Linked DNA regions of Nothobranchius furzeri. The main gene of each other region encodes a partner of the protein of the gene in region 5 in a complex. Links are inferred from orthologs where the notes say so. Each region holds a gene or a part of one and is shown on either strand. Other genes may lie near its edges. The genes, in order: stk26, strn3, striatin, strn4 and strip2.

Region 1 (4,246 bases), on a different chromosome or scaffold from region 5:
CATCAATTTAAAAGCACACCACTTCACACAATATATGATGAACTATGCCAGAATCCTAAAAAATATCTCAAATTTCCAAACTCTGTCTGGCTCAGTGAAGTTACGTTTTTGTATTATGTATTTATAATTAGTGTAAAATGTTTATTCTATCTCGAGGTGGCTCATATCCTGTCATCCACAATATTATCAGTAATTATATCCATAGACATTCCCTGACTGTGTGGGGGTGGGGTTTGGCCAGTCTTTCTACACAAGCAGGATAAACAAAACTAAAACACGAACGAACGTCCCCAAATAATAAAATCCACGAAGCCAAATGCAAAGTTTAGAGTAGAACATTTACTGCGAGGTTTCCTGATTGAGCAGTCATGTGAGAATACATGTAATGACTGCTTAAAGACTACGCAAGCTAGTAGCTAGTGCTAGCAGCTATCCGCTATAAGTGAGTATGGTTGCTTTGGCAAAGATTCATAATCGTTTATGTCCGCATCTTCATGCATCGATTATTTCATTATTTTCCTCAGCTTCACTGAGCACCCCCAGCTAAACAAAACAGCACACTGCCTACAACTTGTTCTGATTGGTTCATTGATGTGTCTGTCATGCCGACAGCTGTGGCAAAAGAAAACAATCTTTTATACAGAGCATCTCAAGATGATGGTCATTAGGCACTTCCCAAATGTATACAAATGTACACAAAATATTTCTAAATATTATTAAAAATATGTTAACAATGAGAAAATTTTTCAATTGTGATTAAAAAATATGTAAGGAAAAGGAGAGAGAAAATTCATAGGAAAGAGGGAAATAGGTGGATCCCAGAAAAGGCGGAATAAGAGCAGAATAGAGAGTGGTGATGAAGGTCACAAAAGCCATCCGGAACAAGTGAGTCTTCAGCTGCTTTTTAAAGGAGACCACTGAGTCCACTGATCTCAGGCTCAGGAAGAGAGAGTTCCAGAGTCTGGGGGCTACAGCAACAAATGATCTGTCACCTTTGGTCTTTAGCCTGGTGCTGCCTAACCAGTAGGCTTTGATCACTGGACCTCAGGGACCTGCTGGGGGTGTAGGGACTAAGAAGATCGCCAATGTAAGATGGTGCTTGTCCATGTAAGGCCCTATAGACCAGAACCAGGATCTTGAAATGAACCCTGAAGTTGACCGGCAGCCAGTGAAGCTGGAGGAGAAGTGGGGTGATGTGGGTGTGTTTGGAGGACTTGGTCAGAAGCCGAGCACAGGCATTCTGAACCACCTGCAGACGGTTCAGGGAGGTTCTGCTCAGACACGTGAAAAGAGAGTTACAGTAGTCTAAGCGTGAGGAGATGAAGGTGTGGAGAACTGTCTCAAGTTCAGAGCGGGACAGAATGGGACTCAGCTTAGCAACGTTCCTGAGATGGAAGAAGGAAGAGCGAACAAGAGAACTGACATGAGAATCCAGGATGAGAGCTGGGTCAAAGGTCACACCAAGATTCCTGACAGAGGGTTTGGTGTGAGAAGCAAGCTGAGCAAGAGAGTCTCTGACTTTGGGAACCAGCAACCATTGGTTGAAAAAATGTGAACCTTAATGGACTGCTTATATCAGAGATTTTTGATGCAGTCCGATATAATCCGATACACTGTTTTTGGGCCAATATCAAATTACTTTCGACATCGATATCGGAACGGGACATCCCTAACTTAAATTTGGTGCCCTAAAGAGAAGGAAGCCCCTCTAGGATCGCTGATCAACATGCAGAGCTGAAGCACAGCAGAGAGGGAGGAGGAAGAGCAAATTTAAAATAAATAAATAAATATAACATTTGTGACTTAGACAGAATAACGACATATAAAATACATAATAATTATTTTTGGGCTGCTCAATTAATCGAATTTTAATCCCAATTACCATCTGAGTTTTGAACGATTATAAAAACAAAACAAGCCGATTATTTGCTCCTCCCACTTGCGCTGCCCGAGTTGCAAATGAAGCGCTCCTCCCACAGCTGTGGTTGGGACAATTATTACATTAACTGACGGATCTGTAAATAAATAGTTCATGAATAAGGTATAAATAAGTTCCTCACGCTGATAAATAATAACTAACCTCTCTGAGGACACGGTGCTAGTGCACTCTCCTACAGCACCTTGACACGACTCATTAAATGTTATGCAACATTTTGTGAACATCACTTTATTTGCATGTATTTGTTATAAATGCCACTGCATAATTCTTGCTGTCAGTATTTGCAAGATATTGGTATTTGGGTCTGTACTGGTTAGACTTAAATGAGTTAAACCAAGCAGTGGCGTGTCCAGATCTTTTAGAATGGGGTGGCCCAGGTGAGGCACAACTTTGTGCATGGGTGGCACCAATGGTTATGCTTTTCTTTTTGTTTTACCCCCAAGCCTTTTGTGGACAATGAAAAGCCTATTTAAAGTTAAATTAGTGTGGTGGTACCTGGGGTGGCCAATCAGATTCCAAGGGTGGCATGTGCTACCCCAGACCACTCCCTGGACACACCCCTGAAACCAAGGTCTATAGCCCTTGGGTCATAAACTATGAGCTATAAGTGTATTGGTCTTTTTTATACTGGGAATCGGGTTATTTTAATTCAATTCAATTCAAGTTTATTTATATAGCGCCAAATCACGACAAGAGTCGTCTCAAGGCACTTCACATAATAAACATTCCAATTCACAGTTCATTAAACCAATCAGAAATAATGTTTCCTATATAAGGAACCCAGCAAATTGCATCAAGTCACTGACTAGTGTCAGTGACTATACAGCAATCCTCATACTAAGCAAGCATAAAGCGACAGTGGAGAGGAAAACTCCCTTTTAACAGGAAGAAACCTCCAGAGAATCCTGGCTCAGTATAAGCAGCCATCCTCCACGACTCACTGGGGATTGAGAAGACGAAGCAGGCCCGCACGCACGCACGCACGCACGCACGCACACACACACACACACACACACTAGTAATGTGTCTATAGGTATATTGTGATGTCTTTTAGTGATCATCTTGTTTCTTATTTATTTTTGTCCTGATTGTGCCCTGAGCAATTTTATGACGGAATAAAAACAAATAAAATCAACATAAATTGAAAAATCGTCCTAAATAATCGAGATCTCAATTTCAGTCACCATAATCGTGATTATTATTTTTGCCATAATCGAGCAGCCCTACTTATGATGCTAATAACTGTCCTGAAGGCATTTCTCTAAAAACTAATTTAGTGTTATATCACAATAATTTTCCATCAAAGGAAACACTTTTAAGACAACATGTTTCCGTTTCCTCTCCTCAGAGTTCTCACGTGGATCCAGAGGAGCTGTTCACCAAACTGGATCGAATTGGAAAAGGGTCTTTTGGAGAAGTGGGTCCATTTTCATCTTTGTTTTGTCTCAGACATTCCATTCCTTCCTGATCCTAACTTTTTATCTACCTCCAACAGGTGTTCAAAGGCATCGATAATCGCTCTCAGAGTGTTGTCGCCATCAAGACGATCGACCTGGAGGAGGCGGAAGATGAGATCGAGGACATCCAGCAGGAGATCACCGTGCTCAGTCAGTGTGACAGCCCATACATCACCAAATACTTTGGCTCCTACCTGAAGGTGAGAAAAGACATAGTTCAGGCTGATCCGAGTCTCGTCGGTGACGAAGGTGTGTGTGAAACAGTTAACAGAGAGCAGCCGTAGTTAGTGTCTGCTGCTGGTTTCCAGCATCTGCTTATCGTTTTCCTTTTGCTGCATTTGCTGTAACTTATTAACACAAATGGTTTTCTTGTTCAGGGCAGTAAACTATGGATCATCATGGAGTATCTGGGTGGTGGTTCAGCGCTGGATTTGGTGAGCGAGCTGGATTTATCTATTCAGTCTGTCTGCAGACAGTTTTTAACACTAAAACAACCTTCAGGTTGAGTTTTATGCTAAGTAGCTGCAGTTTAGTAAAAAAAAATTAAATGTCCTCACACTTAATCTTGTATCATCTAAAATATCTGAGACACGATGTTCTCTGATGACAAACCTGAGCTTTTATGTTGCATTTTATCAGCCAGTAAAGTCCAGCAATGGTGCTACAATGTCTTGCCCCGTTAGGTTGGTTTATGCTTGACGCGTCCGCGAGGTCCGCACCGCTCCGCGCGGAAAAGTTGCGTCATTTTGCGTCATCTTAACAACCACGCCCCTCCACCGCGCCTCCGCACGGCCCAGAATTTCCGCAATGCGCACGTCGGAAAATTTCTAACCACGCGGACAGACGGACG
Region 2 (4,246 bases), on a different chromosome or scaffold from region 5:
CACCACTGAAACACTGTTCGCCACTGGAGGTCATCGCCAACGACAGCACCGGACCACTAAAAAGACACGTCACAAAACTATAACAAGCCTTCAGATTTATCTCTAACTTGGGCTAATTATATCTTTACTTTATACTCTTTATTTTGATAATAGTAGCTACAGAGTTGGTTACAAACAGGACTTAAATTATGGGGGAGCTAGGGGTGCCCGGCCCCCTCGGGGGGGGGGAATCTGAAAAATGATCTCTAAAACAACTAAATGTGGTTAATAAAACATGTCTACAGTTGGAATCTGATGTGTTAAAAGGAGACGTGACATGTTAATGTTCCACATTGGTTCTGATACATACATGTGACCCCTGAAGGTGTAGACCGGTTCCACGTCGAACGAGGCACTTCTGGAACACAGAATGTCATCACACCTGTTATTGGTGTTCTAAATAAACATCAATCCTGAAAGCTTCCGAGCATTTTACAAACTCCTTATCTGATCATAACACACAACCTGCTAACTGTATATATGTCTGGAAGCCACGCCCCTGGAATATCTAACGAATCAGCAGTCTGAATGTTCTCACCTGGTTCCTAGTGTCTCATTGTGTTTTTCATTTGTAGTTTTTTTCTGAGTAAAAGAAAGCTGAAGTGTCCCTGGTGAGCTCAGAGGACCTGTGTCTGACGACGTCGTGTAGGTGAGAGAAGATCACAGGAACGACTAAAAGCCACCAACACCCTGAGCTGATGCAGCTCCTGTACCCAGTGAGGGCCCAGAAATCAGAACACATACTTTTTGGCTGGGACGGTCTTGGTGAGGTTCCACAGTTTGAGCGTGTGGTCTTCAGACACTGTGACCAGGCAGGGCTCCACAGGGTGGAACGCCAACCCTCGGACCCCATCAAAGTGGCTCCGTAACGTGTACTTGGGGTTCCAGGTCTTCCTGAAGGAAGACTCTTTACTGGAGGAGAGCTGAGGACAAAACCAGAGTGAGCTCATTTATCAGGAATTCAGACAGAGTTCCACTGAGTTTCATTTCCTCACATCGTAGCCAAAGTCCACCTCATCGTTGGCGACGGTGAGGTCAGCAAGGTCCCCCAAACCCAGCACGCTTTCCAGAACATCATCAGACCCCCCCAGTAAGAAGGACTTTCCCCCAGCAGTGGAAAAGGGTAGAGGCTCTGCTGCAGAGAGACTCAGATAAATTCACTTGTGTCCAAAACGTCCAGACACCAACATTCAGACATGCGTCATGTTTTATTTCTGCATTTGATCATTGGCTGGCTAACGTGTGATGACTATCTCACCCCACTCTGTCCCATCACCAGAGCTGCGGGCTTCCCCCGCCCCCTCTCCATCCTCTGCCGTCACCAAGAAATCAAACTCCTTCAAAGCTTCCTCCGTGTCTGCGTCATCCTCTGTTGCTAAGCCCTCGTTTCCTACCTGGTCGACCATGAGAGCAGAAAAAAAAGTTCCAGGAGAATGGAGTACAGGAGGGAAATGGTGCTAAGTCACAGTTTCTCTTCACATACATTTATTTTATGTTTTTTAGCTCGATGGTGTTTGTCCGTAGTGATGTCGTCCATTAGGTCTCCCTCCTCATCATCATCTTCATCACTGTCCTCTGTGTTCTCCAAGAAGTTGAACGTCTCCAAGTTGTCAGTTGGAATTCTGCACACAAACACACATGTGGTTCACACACACGTCCACTCTGGAGACCATGGACAGCTCCTTCAGAGATAGACTGAGACATCCCAGATGTAAAACAGAACGCTTCTGTGGGTCATTCATCCCCTCTGCAGTAAGAGTGTAGAACTCCTCAGTTTAAGCTGTACTGGTATTATCCTGGTACACAAAAGCATCAATGCAATACTCAGTATGTGTTCAATACTTGTGCAAAACCAGATGAACTTAGTATGTCTGCATCCCTTACAGTATGCTGCATGGTTCTGGAACCAAGTTTTTCATTTTTATTTGTGGTTTTTAGTGGTTGAAGGTTACAATACTAGCTTACTGCCTATGTGTGTATACATGTACCTTTGTTATTATTTTTCTTCATAGTATTCTCTTAAGTGTTTATACTGCAGTAACAAGAGAATTTCCCCTCTGTGGGATCAATAGTCTATCCTATTCTATTCAATGTGTTTGCACCATTCCACAACCTGAAAGCCCAAAAACCACTGGTTGAACTTTACCAAAACCCTGAATATTATGGGAACTTCAGATTTCTAAACAAATATGCTTTTAGGAATAATGATTTGATGTTTTAGATTTCTGGAGATCTTCTCCGGTCCCCACCCGTTATTCGTGACCCTCTATGGAGGCCCAACCCATGTCTCAGAAGAAAACTACATCATTACTCCATCTAGATTGGCAACAGGTCCATCTTCATTTCTTCAGACCTTCTGGAAGTCTTTCAAAGGCCACATAGCTCAAGGGATGATGCAGATTTGTATATAAAATTGTGTCTTTTGGTTCCTAAGTAGCAACACAGTCTGTTCCTGTGTCTTTAGTTTAATCTGTAAAAACAGCAGCAAGACAATGGCCTCTGTTTTATTTTCATTAAACTCAGAAAACTGTAAGCCAGCCAAATATTTACCTCCTCCAGACATGCCAGGATAATCTTAAAAGCACCATTTTATCCCAGTTTCATGGGGCAATAGCTTTAACAACAGTCAGCATGTAGATGAAAACTCAGCTTATACTTCTGAAATGTCAAGCAGGTAAAGGGTAAATAAAAGGGGTCTGAGGATGGAACCTTGCGGCACTCCTCAGATGAGGTAAGATGGAGCTTTACCAATCTTCATACAACATCCTAGTTAGATAAGACCCCTGCCACTCCAGAGCAATCCCTGAGATCCCTACCCATTGTTTAAGCCTGGTTAGCAAGATGACAAGATCAGCTTTGTCCAATAAAGGACGTAACATTCAGTACAACCACTCTATAGAGAACCTGACTACCTGACAACTCAAATTACTTAAGTACTTAGTTGCGCATTATTTTTAAGTAGCAATTAATTAATAATTACTATGAAATTCATAGTAAATATTGATTATTCCCCCACATCTATTCATACTATGAATAGATGTGGGGGAATATTACCATCAATAAAACCAGCTGTGGAGCGATTATGTTGCCACAGCCCCATCTAGTGGACAACTTTTGTATTTGCGCATACGGGTAATTATCGTCCATTCATCGTTTTTAATGTGAACTGCTCATCATGCTGTGATACTGATTTGAAGCCACATCTCCCAGCCCTAGATTCAACCCATCAACAGTGGGGGCAGACAGGCACATTCAAGCTTTTCAAAAGTGTGGGGGATGTTGTCTGTGCCCAAAATAATTTCATGTTATTCATCTTGTTAGCTTAATTTCCATAACAGCGGAGCAGGTGCGAATTTTAGACGTGTCACGCATGTCTCCGTTTTAAACATGTTTAAACTGTTCAGAATACAAATAAAGGCTCTGTCTCGTTAGATTGGTATAACTAAAGGTTGTACTGAATGAAACTTTACATTAAACCATGTTGAAGAGAAAAGGATCCAATTAAATCGTTTCCCCCTCATTTTACAGTCAGTACAGTGCAGTGTGCATGGCTCTGGGGTTAATCAAGTTTAGTTGTTTCTCTTTGCAACAATCTTCACAAGAAGGCAAAACAGTAAAATGGCAGGTTACAGATATTTCCATTTGACTGTTTATTTTGACAGATAAACTCAAGGATGTTGGTTGTTTTGAAAGAATTACCCCGACGCACACTGATGCACACACAGATGAGCTGACATTTTAATCGTTACGCACATCGCGGAGGTAACTAAATCAATCAAGAAATGATTCCCATCAGAACATCAGAGCTTTATACTGGACACTGTGCTCAGCGCGGCTCGGAGCGCCCACGGTGGACAGTGAGCTGAAGATCTGTAGAGGGGTTTGCAGCGCAGTGCAGAACCACGGCGCATGCGGTAAGATTTCCTCCCACTGAAGCGGTCTGGAAACCCGGTCTCTCTGAGGGATGTGTCACTTGGAAAAATGTTCTTTTTATGAAATTATGAAACTTAGGCTGAACAGCGCTTGTTCCCGTGTCTAATATGGAGACGCATGACGCGTAGAGACATTTGATCACGCACAAAGTTTATGTGGAGCAGAAGCGGTCGGGCCACGGCAGGTGAAATGTTCCTAGCCTACATGAAGTGAAACTGTTTAATTGTAACATTAATATGTTACTGGACATGCTGGTCTGGTTGATTAGACCAGT
Region 3 (4,762 bases), on a different chromosome or scaffold from region 5:
CCAAGGACACGATGACTACAGCAGACTGAGAGGTGCGTGAACCTGCTACCCTCCAGTTACGGATCGGGCACTTAACTCCTCTGCCACGTCGCTCCAGTGTTCAATGACAAGAATGCTGCACATATCCGAATGAAGTGCAACATTTTAGGGCAGCTAATTCAACATTTTCTCATTAAAGTCAATGAATAATGGCGATTAACATTTATTATCTCAATTCTAATGAAAAAGTAATAATTATGCTAATAAAAAAACATGCAGCACTAATTTCAGCAAACCTGCTAAAACCTAATATGTGTTTTGAGTTTGTTTTAACTATTTCTTTGCTTCTTTTCTGAAAGTATTAATAATTCAATGATAATTAGGGTGATAGTAGTTAAGTGCCCGTCCCCTAACGAGAGGGTTGCTGGTTCAAGCCCCATCTGTCGCAGTGTCTGTGTACTTTGGCAAGGTGCTCAACCTGCCCTGCCTGCTGGTCAGAAGACGTTGTGGTGCCAGTGCTTGGCAGCCTCGCATCGGTCAGGGCACCCTTGGGCAGCTGTGGCAACAATGAAGCTCATCACCACCAGAGAGTGCATGTGTGTGCATTGTATTTCAAAGTGCCTTGGGGGGTTGTAGAACCGTAGAAGGCGCTGTATCACATACAGGCCATTTACCATCATCTGATAACTAAATTCTTCTCTTGTACATTTATTTTCACATCAGCAGTAACACAAAAAATTGGCTTATCAACCAAATTCATTCACGGATGCCAGGTGGTGATGACCCACCAAGAAATGGAACACACCCCAGAAAAGAGGAGTGGCCTCCTAAACAATCTCACAGGCTAGCTAGACAGCATTTTTATTTTTACAAGCACCAGGTGTGTCTTCCTCTCAATGAACACCAGGCACGGCTTTCACCCAACTTATACAAGAATTATTTCAAACAAGAAGACGGACCAAGGCTTTTAAAACGCAGATCTGAAACTGAGTTTAACGCAAAAATCTGAATGTTCCAGCAGGTCAGCGACGTCAAAGTGCTACTTGACATCTTCTATTATGGCGCTCAAGCCTTTCATTATTCATCGAGATCTATTAAGTTTCTTTTAAATGGCTTTTGATCTTTCCTTCCTTGTGTTATTTCACCAGCAGCTTCTCTGGAAAAGTGATATTTATGCAAGAATACCTCAAGGACAGCACAAGGTTACATCCCATAAGGAAGTTTTAGAGTATTAATCATGTCTGCTCTCATTTCGTGCAGCACTGGAAAAGCGAGAACAGAGTCGCTGATGTTCGCTTGATGAAGTGTGCAGAATGATGCCAGTAAAAAAACGATTTTACTACAACTATGGTCAATTTTGTGTCCTGTAAACAAATCATTTTCCTGTTAAACAAAACAATAACTCTAAATGAGCGCGCACACGTATTGCCGCCACAAATAAAACCACCCAGTAAACCAACCACCCTGTGCTGTGCCACAGCCACAGCAGCTTGTTGGCTGATAAGCTCAATTCATGACAGCAGACAGGAAAGGAAGCATGATCTGCTAGGCAGACTGAAAGTGCTGCATGAGGCTGAGTCAAAAGCCTGCCAGACAGATCGTGGTGTATGTCATCAATGTACAAACAATGCCATGACTCCCTCCCTCTGGTCTCTTCTGTTAGCGGAGGTCAGTTTGTCCTGCAGAGTAAAACTGATCCGATTGTGATACCACCTCACGACTGGGTCAAAATAGATGAGAAACATCGTACAAAAGGAATCGAACTACAAATCAATCCATGCATTACAGAGAGCAGTTCATGCTTTTAAAACATTGTGGTATAATCTATTAAAAGATGCAACATGTGTTAACGTTAGAAGTGGACTGGAAACCTAAAACAATAAATAAGATTTATCTCCAAGTTAAATTTACCCTCAAACTGCCACCTGATCCACTCATTCTGACTTATGAATAAAAGCTAAATTGTTTGACCTAATTTTGGGAACCAGATATAATTTCTATACAGTGAGACCCAGCAGAAAAAAGCAAAACAACAAGGGGAAAGGACAGATTAGAGCGCATTTGAATGCCTTTCCTCAGGAGTGACAGTGACAAGGCAGCTAGCTAATAAACAATGCTGACTCCAGACTCTTGGTATGTGATGTCTGTTTAAAGCTGTCTGTCGGCTTACAGGAGATCAGAGCATTAACAGATGCTAATGCCTGTTTACTTTACATGTTTTACATATAAACAGAGTAGAAACCTTAGCAGGGTGCTACACATGTACCAATATATAAAGCCGAGTCCGTTCCGATGCTACATATTTTACGCCAACTACTTTGGTAATACATATAATTGCTATTAATTGTTATTTTCACAAGAAAACCGTGAAAACAAACACTCGCTAAAGCATGTATTACAATAACGGAGTGTGTGAGGTTCATTTAGTGGTTTCCGTGAAAGCAAAGACATCGCTAACAGCCGAGTGAGAGGGGCGCTGTAGCTCCTTTAGCTGCTAATGCTAAAGCTAACGACCAGAACAATCAAACACAGAAAATCAGCGGGATTTCACCACAAACAAGCAGCACAATTCCCAGGTAAAGAAAAGATTGTGGGCGTTAATTAAAATATGAGGCAATTTTCACCTGCAGCTCGGCCCGCTCCACCTCCCATTGTGCCCTTTCAACTTCGAAACGGGCCCATTCGTGCTGCAGGAAGTGCAAGATCCCCGGGATGCTGTACTGCGCTCTAGCCGCCTCCCCAGCGTCGCCATCGGGCAGAGGTCCTTTCCCACCGCCGGCTAAAACAGAGTTATTATTGTTGAAGAACACCCCGGGCCCTGCCTGCTCGTCCATGGCCGGGCTCGGTGGATAGGTCGTTCCGTTGCCTCGATGTACCCGATACCAACAGATGGGTAAAAAATCATAAAAATAAAAAACTATCGACGGCACTCCGTCGCCGCTGCTCAGGGAATGAACTCACTTTCTGACAGCTAGCTGTCATCGACCGACGTCAGAGACGCAGCAACGCCCACATTTAAGAGACGCTCGATTTCTTCACCAGGACCGTCCGGAGCAAACAGTTTCAACTTCACTCAAAACCAAATGTTAGCGCCTGGAAATACTTTAATAAAATCCTACCAAATGGAAAAAATAACAGTAAGGACACTTATTTAAACTCCCTCAAAAAACGAGTGAAATATTACATTTTTATTTACCTGCCAAGGTGAGTTTACAGCTGAGACGGACAGAAGATTGTTAGCAAAAGACACCGAGTTGGGGAATAAAATCATCCTTGAGTGATTATATTAGGCAGCACATACAACAAACGACGTGTTTTCCCCCAAATACTACAATACTTCCATTAGCAGTAGTAAAAATCTCATTGCTGGCTCAATACAAAGCCCAGAAGTAATCTCATTTTGTTTGACAGCTTCTAGGAGGAATGTTAAAACTAAAAGAAAATGCTGAACTCTCAAATAAGCACAAGAACACTCAATGGATCAGTGGAAAGGTCACAAACAATTGTAATTCATAGACACACTGATTGCCAGACTGCTGATGCAAATTCATTGAAAATAAATAAACAGCAAACATCAGCATTCAGAGGGCTTTAAATCAGATCACTTAAAGAGTAAGTCACCCCCAAATCAACTTATTTTTTCTGAAACTATATAAATGCGTGTCTAATCGCGCTGCAGACGTGTAGTCAATAGTTTTGCACTTAAGCATTTTAGTTAAAATTTTAATTTTCAGCCTAAAACTGTCAGCGTTGTGTCGTTGTGAGCCTCTGTGTGTGTGTGTGTGTGTGTGTGTGTGTGTTGTTAGCAGCTCCGCCCTCTCGGTCTGCTAGGCAACAGCATTTGCTCTTTAAAGAGCAAGTCACCCCCTACCAGCGTATTACTCCACTTCCACTTCCTGTTTGAAAAATGCAACAAATGCTGTTGACTAGCAGACCGAGAGGGTGGAGTCGCTAACAAATACACACACAGGCTCAAGACGTTGTGACATCATAAGGTACCAGCTAACATAATTTACCTCTTAGCCAATAGTGGTGCCAGATTTAAATTCAAATGCAGTGCAGTTTTTTACCTGACGACGGCACAACACTGACAGTTTTAGGCGGAATATTTAAATTTGAACCAAGATGCACTAAAGTGCTAAACTATTGAAAACACGTGTCTGCAGCATGATTAGACACTCATACAGTTTATCAGTAAAAAAAAACAGCTGATTTGGGGGTGGCTTGCTGTTTAAGGCAGAATATTTAAATTTTAACTAAGATGCACTAAAGAGCCAATTTATTGACTGCACGTGTCTACAGCATCATTAGACACTTGTTTATATAGTTTATCAGCAAAGAAAAGTTGATTTAGGGTGACTTGCTCTTTAAATAGAAATCAGGTCTGATTGTGATACATTCACCTACTAAAATGTGAGATTTTAAAGCAACCTTTCAAAGATGAACATTCAGTGTTTGTTCATGAAATGTAACTTTTTTACTTCAATGTGAATGGTTATCTATTAAAAGATAGATCAGAAATAGAATAAATAAATACATTAAAAAACTATAGTGAAGGAAAGATATGGCGTGTAGTAAGTACACAGTGGACAGAAAACAAACAATAAAGACCACCAACTATATTTTAAGAGTGTAAAGTACTTTCGTGTTCAAAAGAAGTTTGTCTTGAGTTTAATAGTTGGTGCAGCCTGTACAGTTGGCTGAGCTTGTCTCGCTGCAGCTTTGGCTTTGCTGCTGGCTTGGTTGGCCCGGATAGCAGATTCCAGACGAGTTTTAAGCCCAG
Region 4 (4,246 bases), on a different chromosome or scaffold from region 5:
GCAGCAAACCAGCCTTTAGTCTGCCTAATTATTAAGCAACTGTCTAATTTATTAGATTATGCTCTGATGCTAGCTGGACCCTTTTCTGGGTCTCTCACCATTCTGCTGCTGGATTTCAAGTACATAACTAAATGCCTTGTGAGTCGATCTCTGTGGGAAAATTTTCAGGAAGTGGAAGTGAGGATGTATTGTCCTGTTTCCTGATATTTGGATATCTTGCCTCTGATTGGCCAACTGTAATGTGACTACCACTCGCTCCACTTGATCTGCAACATTGATGGTTTATCTCCACAAATAACACAAGCCTGGAGGAGTTGTGCTGCGTGATGGAGTTGCTAATGGTAAAGGTTAGCTTCTACTCTCTTCTGGGCACTAGACCAACAACAGCATTCCCTGCCACAAGCCAAGATGGGTGAGTTCACGAACGCTAATTTTAAATGTGACTTAGATCTATCAGGCGTTACTAATCCCAATGTTTCCACGTCTATTTTCTTTCAGCATCTAATTTAGTTCCTGTACGTTAAACTGAGAGTTACTGATCATATTTAAAAAACGACAAATAAAAAATCGGTTTCTCAGGGAACTTGCTCTTTAAAATAAATTTATGTTTTATAATTGTAAACTTTGATTAATGAATTTAGAAAACACTTGAACATATTTCTGAATATAATTGGTCACTGTGAGCTTTCCATGCAGGCTGAACATGAAAATAGTCTCCTACTCCTGTCTCCTGCATTAGCTTCCGATAGAAAATAGACGGTGAAACTCTAGGATTAGAAAAACCTGACAGATCTACATCACACGGTCACTTAACAATCATGGACTCACCCATCTTGACTCATGACGGGGGAGGCTGTTGGTTTAACAGCCAGGAAACAGCAGAGGACATCTCAACTAGCAGACGCTAACCATTAGCATTAGCATCTCAAACACACAGCAGAACTTCTCCAGGCTTGTATTATTTGTAGAGATCAACATTGGAGGGCAAACAGTCAGTGGTAGAGTTGCTGTTATCCAATCCAGGGCGAGATGTCCAAATATCAGGAAATAAGACTCCAAATCCTGCCGTCTGAAGCTCAGCTGTGGGTAACTGAGGTCCTAGAAATGGTGCACCAGTATAATTGTTTCTTCAAAGTATGACTTACAAGCCATTCGCTCCTAGCAGAGACCACTGCGAATGTATTATTTAAACGAGTAATCCACCGCTGTAAAATAATTTTTAAGTATTGTCACTATTTTTGACATACTAAAACCACTTCTTTGTCCAATGTCTCAAATCTATGAATCTGATTACATTTAATGTTTCTCTAGTTTTTATAAACCTCTGGATTTTTTTTTTACTTTTTCTGATCTCAGTTTTGAGTTAAAAACCTTGCCTCCGTCTACTGAAGCCTGTTTTGTTGTTATTTTTACTGTGAACTACGCCCAGCAGCATTAGAGGAGAAACTAGACTTGTCAGATTCATCCTGTAACTGTTATTAGCCCTGACACCATCAGTAAATAGGTGACTCAGGTTTATTGGCAGCCAGTTCCATCCCTCCACTTGAACTGGGTTGGACTGGTTAAGTGTTTTGAAAAATTAGCCCTCCTCTCCTTTCTTCCGATTGTTTTTCCCCCAAATAATTTGAGTTTTGTGCAGCAAAATGTGGAAGCTGTTTGTGCCGTCACTGCAGCATGTACGTGAGGCGTAACGTCAAAGATAGCGTCTGTATTTACGCCTCACCTTTTGATTTGCTCCTCTATTTGCCGGACCAGCAAGGACTCTCCAGCTGCTCGTGGCTCTGGCTCCTGACAGCTGTCGCCGGGCGGAGGCCCGTTCGTCTCCGGGCTGCTCCGACCCAGCAGGGAGCGCACACGTTTGGAGCGCATGTCCAAGATGGTATCTGAGTAGCCGACCTCCTCCAGATATCTGCAACCACAGACGGAAAATCAATAATAAAACACAAGCATAATATAGCATCAGTGGATTTGAAATTATCAGGCAAACTCACTTGCGTAGTAACTGACGTCCCTCCTTCCAGGACATCTGATTGGCTGGCTCAGAGTCTGTCTCAGCTGGTCCATTGAGAACTACAGAAAACACGTTCAACAAGCCATGAGTAGGAAAAAAAACACGTTCGGCTCTAAAAGATGCAGCATTCGTAGACAAGAACAAGTGAAAAACATACGCTGCTCTGCCTCCATCTCTGGCTTCTTTTCTCCAGGACTCTGGTCATTTCCTGTCTTCAGTTTCTGGTGCTTTGCCCTGGAGACACAAAACAAATCCCATCGGGAAAATTACCCGACAACAAGCCAATCCAAGGCTTTATTTACTAAACACAGCACCTGGAGAATGTACACAACTGTTAGATGGGGCCAAAACAGCCGACATCAGCTTTGTCCTATACATGTCCTATTTTATCAGAGGCTGCAGGAATAATGTGATGAGAACAAACCTTTCCTGTTTGAGGGCATACTCCAGCATTTTGATCCGCCTCACCAGGTCCTGTTTCATGTTCTCCTGCCCTTTCCGTTCACTCTGTAGGAATGCCACCTGAGCCTGTATGTAACGCACACACACACACACACACACACACACACACACACACACACACACACGGTTATGAATACACTTAATCCTTATTTTAAAAAGGAAATTGTGCAGATCCTACCACATGGGCTCATATAGGCCAACTAAAACCCAATACTTTAGACAACATTTTCATTTTTTATCCCTTTTGTTGCAAACGCCACAAAGAAGTGAAGAGTGACCGTAAAGACTATGTAGGTATTTCTGATTTACTTCTCTACAAATGCCATGATAAAAATATTAGTTCTTCATTTGCCGTTACAAAGGTCAAACAGCTTATTAAAACGTCTAGCTTCACAGATTTCCACTGGGAATGTTCTTTTTTTGGAATCTGATCAGTGGGGATTCAAGTTTGGAAAGCGTCCCACTCATCTCTGCAACCTTTAAATTACTCCACAATTTCCTTTTTGGACTCAAGTCTGGACAGGATTTCTTGACTATATTTAATATAATTTGGATGTTTTATATTTTGATAATGACCTTGGTACATTCAAGTGTTCCTCTGCTTCAAAAGGCCTGATTCAAATGAAAATGAATGGATTGGGTAGCCATTATGGGCAGACCAATATATCGACCAGTCGATATATCGGTCTGATATTTACTGATTTTAATACAACAGCTGATATTTGTCCTTAGTAAAGCTGATTTAAAGTCAGGCACATCTTTGGACAACCCAGTGCTGTTGCAGCATTTAATTTAAATGTATTTTTATGCTCACTAGTAACATGTGCATGATGAATACTCTAAATTACCATTATTAACAATGAGCTGTGCACAACGTTAAGATTTAACAGCTGGTTAAATTCAGAGTTCAAAAAGCACATCGGCTGACCATGCCTCCAACATATCGGCATTGGTATCAGCAATAGAGAAACCGTATCGGTCGACCTGGTTCTGAGATGATTCCTCAAAATAAACATAAATTTAAATGTGACTTTTACACTTAAGGTTCCGGAGTTTTCCCTTTTCAGAAGTTATATATGATTTTTCAGAAATCCGTAAGTGATCGTCTTATCATGTACTGTGATGTAATGTAAGCAATACGTCTTTGTTGATAAGAACGCCCTCTGCCCCGCAGAGCTCCGTGAAATAGGAACCTGAGCGCCGACCAGAACTAACCAATAGCGTACTGCTTACGTGCTTCAAATTTAAGGAAGTACCTCGGCTGATGCAGAGTTGATGAACTTTTCACCAACAAGTGTTTAAGATATATGAAAGCACAACACGATATGAGTATAATACTTGTAATGCGTGTTTTAGCTCTGTTTGTCGGCTACAGAAGCACATTCAGAAACAAGAAACATGAAGTCGCCATCTTAAAAAAATGGATCGAGTGACTATTTGTGTGATATGCTTGTCAGCCACCAGATGGTGCCATCAGATAAGAGAAACACTACCGGAGAGATACTTTAATTGTTAAATAGAGATAAAAACAGTAGCTAAAAAGGATAAAAATATGGTTGACTAGAATTTTTGTTTTATGGCTCATTAGCAACGTTCCCCTGCATTAATCTGGGCCACGGATCTCATCAAATAATATCTGCTGGAACAAAAGCGGAAAAGTCTGGAAACCTGTGACCTAAATGCCTAAATGTTAAACTACTGTCGACCAAATTAACGAGCAAAAAGATTAGTAAAAAAGAAAAAAGATGAAAGTAAAACGAGGCTCTTAGCCAA
Region 5 (4,246 bases):
GAGGGCAGTTAGAGCTCAAACTGGAAAAATGAAATGGAAAGAAAGAAGAAAGAAAGAGAAAGAAAGAAAAAGAAAGAAAAAGAAAGAAAGAGAAAGAAAGAAAGAAAGAAAGAAAGAAAAAGAGAAAAAAGAAAGAAAGAGAAAGAAAAGAAAGAAAGAAAGCTGGGATTCCCAAAGCGGAGCACCAAGACCATCTGTGGTCACTGAGGGGAATGGATGATGTTAGCTCCAAAAGCCCAAAACTGTGATGAGTTACAGCAGGATTTCTATGTCTGCTGTGTTAGGAGCAAAATGACCTGTTCTGTGTTAATAAAAAGGTAAATAATCAGAAATTAGCTAGTACCCGTTTTTCTTTTTTTTTAATAGAAAACCTAAATGCTTCACAAACAGCTGCAACATCTAATATGCCTAAATGTTATTGACCTTCTCTTAGTAACAAGAAATGTGGTTTTGATCAGCAGCGGTCACTCCTTTAGTGCAATAATCTCCTTCTTTGCATCACGCTGGTTATTAGCTGACTTCACGCTTTGCATCGTTAGATTTCTTCTCTTAGAAAAGCACTCAGCCCTGTTGGCTCAGATTTAAATAACACTGAAAACACGTTCATTTGCTATAAAACAAATATTTATTCTGATCTTGCAGAGGGTTTCTCTTACTGACAGATTTCCTTCTCTAACCCTAACCCTAGACTAAATGTTCACCTTCAAATTTCAATTTAAGTAGCTTTTATTATCAGCATCTGTGATCTGTGGACAATCTCTGGGATAAAGCTTTATGAGGACCTCAGGAGGACACAGCATCGTACAGCTTTGACCTACAAAGAGAACAATGCATGAAACTGTTTACCAGAGTGAAGACAACAAAGTCATTGATTTTTCATGACCTGTCACAGAAAAGCGAGTGTTACATATATTTTTTGTATTTTCTAGTCATTGTTAGAAATAATTAGAAATCCTCTGATGATTACTTGTCGAGATGTATAAGTTTGATTTTCAAACAATTCACATCGCTAATGAAGTGATTTTAGAAAGTTTTTTCATTTAGCCACAAATAAAAATGCGCTTACACCCAAATGTGGTCCTAACTGCTGGTCTGATTGGACTTTCAGTGTTTGGCTTTGTGTTCTTTTTGATCCGTCATCATCCTACTCGTGTTTTATTTGCATGATGAAACACAACAGTAAATCAACGTAGCACCAAGCTTCCCCGTCTGAACGGGCAAAGCTTTCATGTTTATCAGCGCGTCAACGGAAGATTCAGGAGAAAACTGCTCAGGCTCTCATACGTTGTTGTGTATGAGCGGAAATGTTCACAATCAAACCCAACATGTTCTAAATGTGTGTGTGTGTGTGTGTGTTGTACCCTGCGGCTGCGACGGCCTCTCTTCTGCTGCTGCTGCTGCTGCTCGATCAGCTCCATGGCTGAGGCGGGAGGCGAGGCTGCTCTCATGGCTCTGACCACCTTGATACTGTCCTCTGGGAGGGGGGTCAGGCAGAGACGCTCTCGGCCACGCACCTTCATCTCCTGCAGCTCCTCAAACCCCCCCAACGTAAACTAGAACACAAGCATGATCAGAGATTTGAGGAAGAAGAAGCAAGAAAAAGTATGTGAACCCTTTGGGATTAAATACATTTCTGCACAAACTGGTCATAAAATGTGACCTGATCTTCATTTAGGTCACAGCACTAGACAGTCACAGTCTGCTTAAACTAACGCACGAACAGTTATACGTTTCCATGTTTTTATGGAACACACCAAGTACACATTCACAGTGCATGTGGGAGAAGTATGACAACCCTAGACAAATGACATCTCCAAGAGCTAAGTGGTGTCAGGTGTCAGCCAACAGGAGTCCAATCAGTGTGATGAGATTAGAAGTCTTGATTAAAGCTGCCCTGACCAATAAAGAACACACACCTGCTTTTGTCCAGAAGCACTGCCTGATGCCACGCACAAAAGAAGCTCTCAAAAGACCAATGATTAAGAGTTGTTAACTTGCATAAAACTGGAAAGGGTTATAAATGTATCTCCAAAATGCCTTGATGTTCATCAGTCCACCGTAACAGAAATTGTTTATGAGTGGAGAAAGTTCAGCACTGTTGCTACTCTTCCCTGTAGAAGGGGCCGTCCTGACTGCAGAAGTGAGGTGAAGAGGAATCCTAGTGTCAGCTAAAGACTTAGAAAATATCTCTGGCATATGCGAACATCCCTGTTGGCGAATATACTGTAAGTGAGACTCTAAACAAGAACAGAGTTCATGGGAGGACACCACAGAGGAAGCCACTGCTGCACATTTAAAGTTTGCAAAAGAGCACCTGGATCTTCCACAGCAGTACTGGCAAAACATTTTGTGGACAGATGAAACCAAACTTGAGTTGTTTGGGGTGTGTGGAGAAAAAGAGGCACACCACACAAACACCAAAACATTATCACAACTGAAGTATGGTGGTGGGGGCATCATGGTTCGGGGTTGCTTTGCTGCACCAGGACATTTTGCAGGAGAACTTAAGGCTTTTTGTCCACCAGCTGAAGCTCAACAGAAGATGGGACGATGCAACAGGACAATGATCCAAAGACCTCAAGAAATCGATTCATACCAGACATCGCAAGAACTGAAGAAGAAGAAGAAGAAGAAGAAAATATCATTTCTATAGCGCCTCTCAAGATAAAAAATCACGAGGCACTTCACAAAAACAAAACAAAGAAAGTAAAAATATAAAAAAAGCATTTAGAAAATGTTTAAAAATATATTTAAAATGAGCAAAAATAGGCAATTCGTCGTCGTCGTCGTCGTCGTCTTCCTCCGCTTATCCGGGTCCGGGTCGCGGGGGCAGCATCCCAATTAGGGAGCTCCAGGCCGTCCTCTCCCCGGCCTTGTCCACCAGCTCCTCCGGCAGGACCCCAAGGCGTTCCCGGACCAGATTGGAGATGTAACCTCTCCAACGTGTCCTGGGTCGACCCGGGGGCCTTCTGCCGGCAGGACATGCCCGAAACACCTCCCCGGGGAGGCGTCCAGGAGGCATCCTGACCAGATGCCCAAACCACCTCAACTGGCTCCTTTCGATCCGGAGGAGCAGCGGTTCTACTCCGAGTCCCTCCCGAATGTCCGAGCTCCTCACCCTATCTCTAAGGCTGAGCCCGGCCACCCTACGGAGGAAACTCATTTCGGCCGCTTGTATCCGCGATCTCGTTCTTTCGGTCATTACCCAAAGCTCATGCCCATAGGTGAGGATTGGGACGTAGATCGACCGGTAAATCGAGAGCCTGGCTTTCTGGCTCAGCTCCCTCTTCCCCACGACAGATCGGCTCAGCGTCCGCATCACTGCAGACGCCGAACCAATCCACCTGTCGATCTCCCGATCCCTCCTACCCTCACTCGTGAACAAGACCCCGAGATACTTAAACTCCTCCACTTGAGGTAGGACCTCTCCCCCGACCCGGAGGTGGCAAGCCACCCTTTTCCGGTCGAGAACCATGGTCTCAGATTTGGAGGTGCTGATCCTCATCCCAGCCGCTTCACATTCGGCCGCGAACCTACCCAGCAAGAGCTGAAGGTCAGAGCTGGATGAAGCTAGGAGAACCACATCATCCGCAAAAAGCAGAGACGAGATTCTCCTGCCACCAAACTCGACACACTCCACACCACGGCTGCGTCTAGAAATTCTGTCCATAAAAGTGATGAACAGAACCGGTGACAAAGGGCAGCCCTGGCGGAGTCCAACCCTCACTGGGAACAGGTCCGACTTACTACCGGCTATGCGGACCAAACTCACGCTCCTCTGGTAAAGGGACTGAATGGCCCTTAACAGAAAGCCACCCACCCCATACTCCTGGAGCGTCCCCCACAGGGTGCCCCTGGGGACACGGTCATAAGCCTTCTCCAAATCCACAAAGCACATGTGGATTGGTTGGGCAAACTCCCATGCCCCCTCCATCACCCTTGCAAGGGTATAGAGCTGGTCCACAGTTCCACGGCCAGGACGAAAACCACATTGCTCCTCCTCTATCTGAGATTCAACTATCGATCGGACCCTCCTCTCCAGTACCTTGGAGTAGACCTTTCCAGGGAGGCTGAGGAGTGTGATCCCCCTATAGTTGGAACACACCCTCAGGTCACCCTTCTTAAAGATGGGGACCACCACCCCGGTCTGCCACTCCCTAGGAACTGCCCCCGATGACCACGCAATGTTGTAGAGACGTGTCAACCATGACAGCCCTACAACATCCATAGCCTTGAGATACCCAGG

Evidence for each region.
Region 1: strip2 (region 5) and stk26 share a complex: the UniProt entries of both Homo sapiens proteins name them as parts of the core of STRIPAK complex. The link is inferred for Nothobranchius furzeri from reciprocal best matches to the Homo sapiens genes STRIP2 and STK26.
Region 2: strip2 (region 5) and strn3 share a complex: the UniProt entries of both Homo sapiens proteins name them as parts of the core of STRIPAK complex. The link is inferred for Nothobranchius furzeri from reciprocal best matches to the Homo sapiens genes STRIP2 and STRN3.
Region 3: strip2 (region 5) and striatin share a complex: the UniProt entries of both Homo sapiens proteins name them as parts of the core of STRIPAK complex. The link is inferred for Nothobranchius furzeri from reciprocal best matches to the Homo sapiens genes STRIP2 and STRN.
Region 4: strip2 (region 5) and strn4 share a complex: the UniProt entries of both Homo sapiens proteins name them as parts of the core of STRIPAK complex. The link is inferred for Nothobranchius furzeri from reciprocal best matches to the Homo sapiens genes STRIP2 and STRN4.

The regions. Positions count from the first base shown.
Region 1 is NC_091742.1:86,837,607-86,841,852, forward strand, and holds part of stk26 (serine/threonine-protein kinase 26), read left to right. Parts: intron 1-3,287; coding exon 3,288-3,356; intron 3,357-3,434; coding exon 3,435-3,596; intron 3,597-3,773; coding exon 3,774-3,830; intron 3,831-4,246. UniProt on the Homo sapiens protein: Serine/threonine-protein kinase that acts as a mediator of cell growth. Modulates apoptosis. In association with STK24 negatively regulates Golgi reorientation in polarized cell migration upon RHO activation.
Region 2 is NC_091758.1:17,988,265-17,992,510, reverse strand, and holds part of strn3 (striatin-3), read right to left. Parts: intron 1,662-4,246; coding exon 1,523-1,661; intron 1,434-1,522; coding exon 1,298-1,433; intron 1,175-1,297; coding exon 1,035-1,174; intron 963-1,034; coding exon 784-962; intron 398-783; coding exon 350-397; intron 57-349; coding exon 1-56. UniProt on the Homo sapiens protein: Calmodulin-binding scaffolding protein which is the center of the striatin-interacting phosphatase and kinase (STRIPAK) complexes.
Region 3 is NC_091752.1:1,718,466-1,723,227, forward strand, and holds the start of striatin, read right to left. Parts: upstream 3,030-4,762; 5' UTR 2,814-3,029; coding exon 2,604-2,813; intron 1-2,603. Other genes in the region: heatr5b (HEAT repeat-containing protein 5B), read right to left, coding at 4,629-4,762. UniProt on the Homo sapiens protein: Calmodulin-binding scaffolding protein which is the center of the striatin-interacting phosphatase and kinase (STRIPAK) complexes.
Region 4 is NC_091753.1:40,954,229-40,958,474, forward strand, and holds part of strn4 (striatin-4), read right to left. Parts: intron 2,540-4,246; coding exon 2,436-2,539; intron 2,246-2,435; coding exon 2,169-2,245; intron 2,071-2,168; coding exon 1,992-2,070; intron 1,910-1,991; coding exon 1,724-1,909; intron 1-1,723. UniProt on the Homo sapiens protein: Calmodulin-binding scaffolding protein which is the center of the striatin-interacting phosphatase and kinase (STRIPAK) complexes.
Region 5 is NC_091741.1:53,353,894-53,358,139, forward strand, and holds part of strip2 (striatin-interacting protein 1 homolog), read right to left. Parts: intron 1,554-4,246; coding exon 1,362-1,553; intron 1-1,361. UniProt on the Homo sapiens protein: Plays a role in the regulation of cell morphology and cytoskeletal organization. Required in the control of cell shape. Calmodulin-binding scaffolding protein which is the center of the striatin-interacting phosphatase and kinase (STRIPAK) complexes.